Linked DNA regions of Coturnix japonica. The protein of the gene in region 1 purifies or fractionates together with the protein of each later gene. This does not show direct contact. Links are inferred from orthologs where the notes say so. Each region holds a gene or a part of one and is shown on either strand. Other genes may lie near its edges.

Region 1 (5,178 bases):
TTAGAGACCGAACGCCATCCAGCCATCACAAGCTTCACCTGACTTCTCAATACACCTAAATCTGTGTTTATTTTGTTCAGTGGCTGATATTATGGTACATCATAAGCAGTTCCGGTTGTTAATTTGCTAAGAATTCATGGCAGTTACTGCACTGACAGGGGAAGGCTTTGATCTCACTGTTTGTGCTAGGTTTAGACACATTTCAGCATACACACATAGATTACTTCAGGCTGAACGTGTTGGTAAATTATGGCTTTATGTTCCTGAAGCGATAATGCTTTGTTCTGTGCTCAGTACTCATGAACGTGCAGTGTCCTTGCTGGCATGGCCACCCTGACACTACAAGTTTCAGGTATATTGAGCAAAAATGTCCACAGAGCTTTGAATGCACTTGGGGCAGTTCTGTTCAGTTCCTGTTCCATCTGGACATGAGATGCCAGAAGTCAGGTAGCAGTTCTAGCATCCAGCCCTTCTCTGTGCAGCCAGATGACACTGCAAACGTTAATCCTAGGGCCTGGAAGTTCAGCTGTGGGGTTTTGTTTTATTTGCAGAAAAATCATTCCTGATTATCACCCACAAATTGTTGCCTTCTAAGGTTGACTACTCCCTAGTAGCTCTCTTCTTGAGAAAAATTCCTCACTGAGTCATTAAGGGAGAGACTGGAAGGTGTTGGAATCCCGGGCAGCCATGGGTTTGTTTGGTAAAGAGCACAGGGCTTTGGAGTAGAAGGCCATGACATAATGTGCTTTGTGTCCTCGCCATGATTATTATTTGTGAGAAGGAATACTAAATTCCTGACATACCTTAACCAAGGGACAGGGCAGCAGGTAACAACCAAGGAAATGGTGAGCAAGAATGTACCACAAATGAAATAATGGGCCCAGACACAGCAGCACTAATATAGAGATTTTATTTCAACTGTATTGAGTTGTACAGCACATTTTGTTTGTCACAATGCTATAGAACTGATTTTAGAGTTTTTGGCCAGCACATTGTGACGCTGAAACTCACAAGAGCTAAAAGCAGTTTGGACTAATGGCCTGAACAGAAGGGCCAGGAGTACCTAGTTTCTGGCTTCCTTATTGCTTGCAGTCATTCCAACATGTGTAAAACAGGAGCAAATCCTTCTGCCAGCCCAATGGTCACTCTTCCATGTCTGGCAATGACTGCAAGGTACAAGGCAGGGGAGAATCTGAAGCAAGGTGCCTTCTCGTCCCAAAGCCAAATCGGTTGTTCCCAGTATGGAAAAGAAGCAGAGTCCAAGTAGGAACAGGGTCTTCAGATGGTGCTAGCTTTGTTTGCACTACTGGGATTTACAAAACCAGAGGCTGACATATCAAAGTGCAGGAAAAGGGTCACTGTTCCATTCCCTCTGATGGAGATGACAAACCACTAGCAAAAATCTGGGAGATGACAACAGCGTAAAGTTCTTTGCCTTGTTTGACCAAATGCCCTCACAGTTTCTCCCTCCAAACATCAGAAGTCTCAGCTCACGGTGCACATAAAGGGCATTTTCATGTCTTTGGGAAGAAAACCTACATTTCTGGGAAGAAATGCCCCACATTCAAACCCTTCTTCCTCACTAAAACTTGCCGATATCTCAGGAGGCAGGATGGATCTCCCACAGAGATCCAGCAATTCAACACAATTTCACCCAGCGCCATCTTCTCTTTCGAAACCTTTCTTACTTTCTAAACCCAGTTACTTTTCTTTTTTTGGAATGAGTTGGGATTCCTGCTCTGTACTTCAAGGATCAGGCAGAGAGGCAATCGCAAGTTGGCAACTCTGAACTCTGACCACTGTACAGGAGACGAAAAAAAGGAAGTCAAATTCAAGAGGCATTTTAGGCAGCACTGGGGCAAACCAGAGATATTGTTTCCACCACTGAACAGATGCCACGTGTCATGTTTATCGCTGTAGCTTGGTTGTACATCCTAAAGTGAAAAGCACAGACCGCAGTGTCTATGTCAGCCACCTCCATTTTGGTATCGATGCTTCATTCTCCCTTTTTCGGGTTACATTAAGTGCACAGAAATATATAGCAGCATTTGGACTGAAACCCTCACATACACCAGACAGCACATTCCAGGAGGTAAAACAACATATTATGGCCTATACCCTCAAGGTATCAAGTTTTCAGGATACAGAGCAGTAGGAAGTGGAGAGCTGAGGGCAGAAAAGGGGAGGAGGAGCAACACAGGAACACGAGTTCTGTTTCCATGCCAGGAGAGGATCAGGGTGCCATTCCTGTGTTAGCACCAGGCTGTGACACTACTGCAGACAAAGCAGACGGGCAGAGCAGGAAGTGAAAAAGCCAATCTCCCATCTCCCCGCACAGCTGGCGGGCAGGGGCAGAGTCAGGTGCATTCACCAACCCTAGCACAGCGTGAAAACAGGCAACATCTGCTCGGCCTGTTTTCAGCCAGAATGAATTTCTCTTCAACGCTCAAGAGAAAATCAATCGGTGATGGCTAATGAGTCTTGTTCACCAAGCTGATCACAAATCACACTCATGGAAAGAGAATCTACAGAATTGCTCCAGGCTGAGGCCCTTCCAAAGCACATAGTACCACCTCAACTCTGCCCTCTTCCTTCTTGTTACAGCAGCCTGCCTTTGTTGGGGGAGTTGGTTCTAAACATGCCTTTCTATTGCTTTGGGGGTACTTTGCACAGGCAATATCTGTGAGAACATTGCTTTCCAGCCCACAAACATAAGAGGTTGCAATCCCCTCTTTTGCCCTAGGTCAGACTACAATGTACGGGCCCACTGGTACCAGAGTGGAGGCACATTGTACTCTCTAATCTGAGCTCCTCTGCTCCAGTCAGATCGTAAGACTGTTGAAGACAGTGCATTCAAGCTTGGTGTTCAAGTGTTGCACCAAAGGCCTTCACAATTACAGTGGAGGCAGAGTCACCCTTCAAACCCATGAGAGAAAAGGCTGGGCTTAGACAGGTCCCTTGTCTGGCATTCAGCTGGAAGCTGTGGCGATGGGCTTCTTCAGATGTTGGCTCATGAGCTCCCTGGCACGAGACACTTGGATGTGGTCATAACAGGAGTTACAAACGAGGACGGGGTCATACAACTGCTGATCAGGGATGGGCAACTTCAGGTGGCAGCAGCCGGCACAAAACACATTCCCACAGTTCCTGCCAGGAAGAAAGGGAGGCAGTGAGAGGAGAGCTGTGAACAGCAGAGCAAAACTTCAGCAAGGAGAAAGGACCCTGTTCAGGATCAGAAGGACCAAAGACTCTGGGGAAATGGGAACAAGGAAAGCACAGCAGACTGGGAATCTGCAGGGAATTCCTGAGATCCAGCAAATAAAACAAGGTCACAACAGTTTCTTCTTGGAGGTGGAGGGGACGAACGTTGCAGACAAGCGTTTGGGGAGGTTTAAGAGATAAGCAGAGGAGAAAAGTGGAACTGCAGCAAAACTAAGGTTTACCTGCAGTGATGCCTCCGTTTTGCCAGCCAGAATTCACAATCGCAGTTAAAACAGTGCGAGGCCATGTGGTCTGGAACCCACCGCGTGACCTAGGGCAAACACAGTCCTCATCAGCTCCATGTCTAACATCACACTGACCAGACCTTCGGACCCGAATACAGGCTGAGATGTTGCTCTGGACCAGAACAGGCCAGTCCTGAGACAGCCCATCCCACGGGTTCCTTTCTGTGGGAAGCAGCAGATGAGGATTCTGACAGACTCTCTTGCCTAAAGGACAAGGGTGGCTTCTCTCAGCCCTGCTTTCAGCCTAGTCATCATTGCTGTAACCATAGAAATCAGCTGCCAGAAAGGAAACATCCTCTCCTGCTGCACTCACGGCATTTGCTCTTACAACACACGTACCTCGGTCTCCTTCTTGTCAACAGGCTCCCAGCTCGCTTCAGACAAACAATCTTCACTGTGATCAGAGCAGAAGTCCTCAGTGTCGCTGCCATCTGATTCCTTCAGACAAGTCTGCAAAAGGAGAGTCACAAATCGTGTCCCAGGGCGCTCCCTCTGCAGCCACACAGTGCTCGTGAGGGGCACATGAGTGGCTCTGAGTTTCCCTGTGCAAGGGGCAAAGCACTGAGGTTTTTGTGACTGCAAAGCAGCCATTGCTTGGCCCCCGGGAAGCAGAAATACCTGCAGGAGGCACGAGGACGGGGCTTGTGGATGAGGGGAGAGGGGCTGAAGAAACACAGCAGTGGTCTTAACCATCTGCTCTGAAGTTATAGGAACATGAATGTAGTTTGGAGCAGGCGGTGTGGGGGGGTGCGCAGGGGCTGCTGCTGGCAGAGACTGCGCAGCTGAAGCTGTGAGAGCTACTTACGAAATCATCCTCGTAGTCCATGGGCGGTTCAGCCGGTGGGGCGCAGAAGTGGCGGATGTCCAACCGCAGCTGCAGCTCCCGCACCTGCCTGCGGAGCTGCTCCACCTCCTGCTTGTAGCTGGCCTCGATCTGCCGCAGTCTGTGCTGAATCACATCCGTGGGGAAAGGGAGCCCGTCGTCATCCAGGTAGAGAGGAGGCACAGGAGAAGGGCATTTCGGTGGCATGTGCTTGGGACCAGGCGCTTGCTTCACGTGGCAGGGCAGCCACGAGCGGCTGGGCTTCCCTGCGGAGCCTGCAAAATGCGTGCCGATGTGCCCAGAGCAGACTGAGCCTTTTGCACCTTCCCTGGCAGACCATTGGCCACTGAAACACAGGCCCGGTGCCCGCAGCTGTTTGCTGCTCAACCTCTTACTGCAACAACCGTAGGACAGGAGCTGTCTGGGCGTGGGCTCCCCATTGCGGAGCGATGTCACCATTCCTTGAAAACTGTCCCAGTTGGACCCCAAAAAGGAGAACTCGCTGCTCTGGCTCTGGGAGATGGGCTTGCGCCATTGCTCTAGTGGGACTCTCCCCATCCGGCAGGGATCCTCACAGAGCCCCCTCCTTCCAGCATAACCTTTGCTGTTGTCTTCATCTGGGCAGGGGATGCTCGGCTCCTGACAAGGAGCACTGGGCGCCAGTGGCTCCTGGCTGGGAATGTCTTGGCAGGTGGTGTTTTTCTTGGGGCAGCCTTCTCCACTGGGTGCCAAGCCAGCAGCCTTCAAAGGTTCCTGGGAACAGGATTCTAATTGCTTTCCAGAACTGGTGGAAACCCCGTCAACATTTTCCTGTTTGGAAGGATCTGGAGCTGGGCATGCACCATCCAG
Region 2 (5,178 bases), on another chromosome or scaffold:
CACAATTGTTCTCTATGACCATTAGTCATTTTTAAGATGACCTTGGTGAGAGCTCTGGTTTTGACTGAAGTATCAGAGGAACTCAGTTTTACATATCCCAATTCTTGTCCAGATAGTTTTTTCCAGAGGTTTTGTTTCTTCACTAAAAGTAAATAAATGTTAAATTCAATACTCTTTAAGGGTGATGGCCAGTTAACTGAATTTTACATCCTTCCCATTTACACTGACTGAGTATGGAAGGCTTTTCTCTTGCAAGGTTATTACAGTGTTCACTTATTTGCTAAGGTAGTACCACAGTCACTGACAATCATCCCAGTTTTTTGGACGTGTTTCAGGAACCTGAAGTGGAAACTGAGCAAAATGTGAGAGACCTGAAAGCTGGTCTGTGTCTTTCAGACATTTTAAACTAGCCTGGCCTAGGAGATCTATTCAAGTTCTATGTTCTAGTCAAACATCTATAACTACAAGCCCCACAGGATACACTCTAACTATAGGTTTCCTTGCCCTTGCAAGGTGGTTTGGGCCTTTGCTACAAAGTCAGCATGTCTAAGACACTTATGAGCTGTGAAACTGACAGCACAGCTACAGTGCACTGGGATCTGTCTTAACTGCTGAGACTGAGATATGAAACATGGTAGTCATACCCAATAGCCACACTTGCTTGTTCCTTTTAAGCCAAGCCTTGTAATCTGCCTACTTGCAACTTATACTAAAACATGATGTGCGTGCTAGCAGCATAGCTGGATGGCTGGCTCCCATTAGATACCAGTGAGCTATTTATAGGGGAAAAAAAAAAAAGCCTTGGAGCATCTTGGTTAGTTTTGTTGTCCTGCTCAGTTAATTCAAGTGATTATGCCATCAGTTCTGAGACTGTAGTATTACCAATTAACACATTTGATTGTTTCTTTTCTTTTATTAGATGTTAAATGGATTAATCAGTGTAGGCAGCGTGGATTGTCAAAAATTCTACTCTTTCTGTCACCAAGAAAATGTTCGGGGATATCCTGAAATAAGACTCTTTCCTCAAAAATCAAGCACAGCTCATCAGTATTAGTAAGTACCTCAGCTCAGAAAGTGAATGGTCTCACACTAAAGTCACATGTTCTGATGCAAGGAAAAAATGTTCATTAAATGCTACTATAACAGGCTTCTGTAATACTTCCTTACCAGTCATCGTTGACTTCAAACACATGCCATTTTAATTTGCTGAAATGCAAGTTAAACGGAAACTCAGGAACAGGGTTTTTTCTTTCTTCCTGTTTAGCAATGGCCAGTTTTCCAAGGTAAGTAGCGTGTTAAAGTAGATGATGTAAATCATAGATTCTAAAAATATTAATAGGTTTACTTATTTGCAGCTTCAAAGAACAGCGTGGTATAAATTTGTTCTGACCATCCTTAGCATCACTGCAAGAATTGTCTTTGCACATCATCCCATTCACTGTATAATTCATATGAAAATATAACTCACTAACACCACTAACAACTCTCAGGGAAATGAAATGTAGCCAAAGAGCCCATCCCCTTTGTTTCACAGTACCGTGTGAAGAGCTGGGGATTTCAGGAGGTGAATGCCACAGGTCTGAAATATTAGAAGGCTCACTTATTCTTTTACAAACTGGAAAGCTGATAAAATGCTGGCAGATAACAAACTAATGCTTCTTCACTGTAACACTTAATAGCAGGCTTGGCTTTAGTAGCTTTCATCATGGGATTGCGTACTTTTATTTTCTTCTTCCAGACAAAGTTTCTCCCAAAAGCAGGCTTTTATTTCATATTTGAAAAAAACAAAATTTGCCAAATTCATAATGCTGAGTTACTTTTTTCCTGCAAAAATATTGGTATGTGTCTTTAAATCAAATTAACCTAAAAAAGGTCAGATTTTCACCCGATACCTCTATTCTGACAAATACTTTATGAAGCTGCAAATGGATACTAAACTTTCTCTGGAATTTCAAGCTAAACAGTACCTCGACAGTTCATATAATAAATCTTGGTCTAAGTTCCTCGTTTGCCTTGCTTTTCTACTGTTAACTTGAGGGGAACATATATAAGTAACAATAATTCCATTATAATAAAGAAAGATCAGTTAAAATATGTATATAAAGGCATTCCAATTTAATTCTTATGTTTCTTAATGTCTGCAGTTATAGAACTATCACTAAAAATCATTCAGACAGAGCTAGCAAAGCTCAAGCACTCCACAGCATGTTTCTCAGTCTCTTGACACAGAATTGTCTTCTTTCCTTTCTTTGTTCTACTGCTCCTTAATTCTCTACCTTTGAATAACAATGCCTTTAATTATTCAGAACTGAAAGCAAGGCAAAATGTATTTTAAAGTGTATGCATGCTTTAAGATTCATTATTTTATCACCCACTTAACAGACTTTTTGGTTTTTCAAAACAGACAGCCAAGATGTAACCAGCTTTTTGCTTTCTTCTTACAGTAGCTATAATGGATGGCACAGAGATTCATATTCACTGAGAGGCTGGGCGTTAGGGTAAGTGACAGCATTAAAGTTTGCAACCAGGTTGCATAAGGTTGGTTGTTCATAGAATTTTATATCCAAACTGTACATAAATCAAGAACTAGAAACCACTGTCATGTTTGTAATACTTAAGATTTTAATGTTCCCATATCTTTTAAGTCAAGCTTTTAAAAGCATGGAGAAATATTGCTACTCTGTGCACCCATTTCCCGAACAGCTGATCTTTTGTCTACAACTTCTAAGTGATTCCTTAATAGTACAACATGTGAAGCAGGAATTTCCAAACCACTTTTCTTGCACTTCAGTGGAACCTGCAAATATGTTTGAGGCACCAAATGGATGATGATGACTGACATTCTTCCTTTCTTCAGATATTTACCACAAGCGTCCGTAGACCTGACTCCGCAGAGTTTTACAGAAAAAGTTCTGAATGGGAAGGATCACTGGGTCATTGACTTTTATGCTCCCTGGTGTGGACCTTGCCAAAATTTTGCTCCCGAATTTGAGATCCTTGCAAGGGTAGGCTTTTAACTATATCAGCAGATTGCTATTTTTTTTTCCCCCTACTAACTGTGGTTGTAATAGTCAGCATCACTCGCCACCACACTATTCCTAGGCAGTTATCCAAAAATCACTTACTCCTTTCTAGCTATAGGGGAGAAATCTTTTAATATTTCAGTTTTTAAATAGCTAACCATTGCTGTCTTGGTTCATTATTCGCTGTTGATTTTATTATCTTACAGGTAGGCAGTTATTGCCTTGTACAGAGAAAAAATGAATACAGCATTTTACCCTTGTGATAGCGAGAGAAGACTTATTTCCATTTTTAAGTCAGGCATTCCCTGTTTTCATACTAGTCTGCTGTAATTTCAAATCAAAACCTCACTAACCCTATTTGCATAACAACTGAGATATCAGATACACTGTCATTAGAATTCTGCCCTTTTTAGGTTCCCTTTGTCAGTGGGCACTGGCCCTGATACAAACACATGCATACAGGCCCTCCTTTAGACAAACTTCAGTTCATGACTCGGGGCCCTTTGGAACCGTGGTGTGCTGTGCTCTGAATTCAAGAATGTGTGCTCTGCAGAATGTAGGGCAACTTCTGATACAAGGCTGTGGGACACTGAGAATGAAGCAAGTGACTATGAGTTATTTAAAAGATTTGAGCAACCTCTTCTGCTTATTTTTAGCTGCACTGCTGGCTTATTCAAATTATCTGCTTATAGTCAGCCATGGAAACATGAAGCTTGTTTCTAACAAAAATAATTCTTTTTAGGCCATTAAAGGAAAAGTAAAAGCTGGAAAAGTAGACTGTCAAGCATACGGTCAGACCTGCCAAAGTGCTGATATCAGAGCCTACCCTACTGTTAAGTTTTACCCCTACCAAGGAACAAAGGTAAAGTGTCTCCCTTTGTGTACACTGCTGGGCAGGTACTGGTAGTAGATTTATTTCATTTCCCATTAAAATTGAGACTGTTTCTATGCATATGGAAGCATATGGCATTCTATATTCTATAGCATATGGAAGCAGAGAATTTAGATATTCAAGAAATAAAATTGTAATTGATTTTAGTAATACCCAAAATACAGTAGTGACATCTTACCGAAAAATAATAAGTTGTAAATTAATCAAACAGCAACTAAAGCAGAGACTTAATCAGAACTGGGGTTGAATTGAGCAGGAGACTGAAGTGACAAAACAGTCTGTAAACCACTGTTAGCATTAGCTGCTAAAGCAGGCAGTCTCTCAGAATGAAATGTGGACATTCTCATTGTGACTAAGGAGAAATACACTTTCACTGCAATCATAAGTATTTCATTGACTTGTATTATAGAACATTCATAGAAAATACTGAGTTGATTTCTGTCTTAAGCCTTTAGAAACTACTTCAACTATAAAGAACTAAGACTAATATCTATTAACAGATTAGAAATATTAAATTTTTAAAAACTGAAGTGTTCATACAGTTCTACGAAAATGCCTTTATTCTTGTACGAGCAATTGACTACTATCACATTTCACAAAAATCACAGTCATCTTTAGGTGAATTAACCTGAAAGAGAATCATTCAGTGTATATTCATAGTTTAGCCAACTCAACTGTAAACACATATATACACATACATATGTATATAATATCCACCTCTTACAAAAAAATGCTAGAAATCCTTACTTGCACAGTGCCCTCAAACTCGGTAAGACTATTCTGGGTTCAGAATAATGGCTTCTCAGGTCTCCAAATAGGGACCTACATCATAATCGATGTTTAAGAAATCTATCACAAGTTCCAGATCTGTTAAATGTCATCAACATTAAACACCGAGCTGAATGAATGAGAAAAAATGGCAAATAGCTCTTTCAGATTTCTGTAACCTAAATGACCAAGTTTGTATAGTTCTAAAAACTGCACCTAGGAGTGGTTCTTACTGCAAAAAAGAATCAGCATTGTTGAAATAAAGGTAAAATTTTATCACTGAATCATAAATCAACCTACCAGAGCCACTGTCTGCCTCCTTCCACTCCTCCTGGATTTTATCTAAAAGTAAGGAAATTTCCTATTCAGTGTCATGCAACAATTTTTTCTTTAATTTTCTCTTATTTCATTTTTAAAGAAAAGCGTTCTTGGGGAATATATAGACAGCAGAGACGCAAAAGGCATTGCTGACATCTTGAACGAAAAATTAGAAGC

What was found. The genes of interacting proteins can lie anywhere in the genome.
Region 2: the proteins of MTMR4 (region 1) and DNAJC10 purify together in Homo sapiens (affinity purification with mass spectrometry; 3 studies listed by BioGRID and IntAct, counting the BioPlex papers as one, with this or other methods). This does not show direct contact. The link is inferred for Coturnix japonica from reciprocal best matches to the Homo sapiens genes MTMR4 and DNAJC10.

The regions. Positions count from the first base shown.
Region 1 is NC_029534.1:395,613-400,790, forward strand, and holds the end of MTMR4 (myotubularin-related protein 4), read right to left. Parts: coding exon 4,312-5,178; intron 3,957-4,311; coding exon 3,846-3,956; intron 3,533-3,845; coding exon 3,444-3,532; intron 3,148-3,443; coding exon 2,970-3,147; 3' UTR 893-2,969; downstream 1-892. UniProt on the Homo sapiens protein: Lipid phosphatase that specifically dephosphorylates the D-3 position of phosphatidylinositol 3-phosphate and phosphatidylinositol 3,5-bisphosphate, generating phosphatidylinositol and phosphatidylinositol 5-phosphate.
Region 2 is NC_029522.1:12,188,563-12,193,740, reverse strand, and holds part of DNAJC10 (dnaJ homolog subfamily C member 10), read left to right. Parts: intron 1-919; coding exon 920-1,053; intron 1,054-2,444; coding exon 2,445-2,498; intron 2,499-2,857; coding exon 2,858-3,005; intron 3,006-3,765; coding exon 3,766-3,885; intron 3,886-4,983; exon of another isoform or gene 4,984-5,025; intron 5,026-5,101; coding exon 5,102-5,178. UniProt on the Homo sapiens protein: Endoplasmic reticulum disulfide reductase involved both in the correct folding of proteins and degradation of misfolded proteins.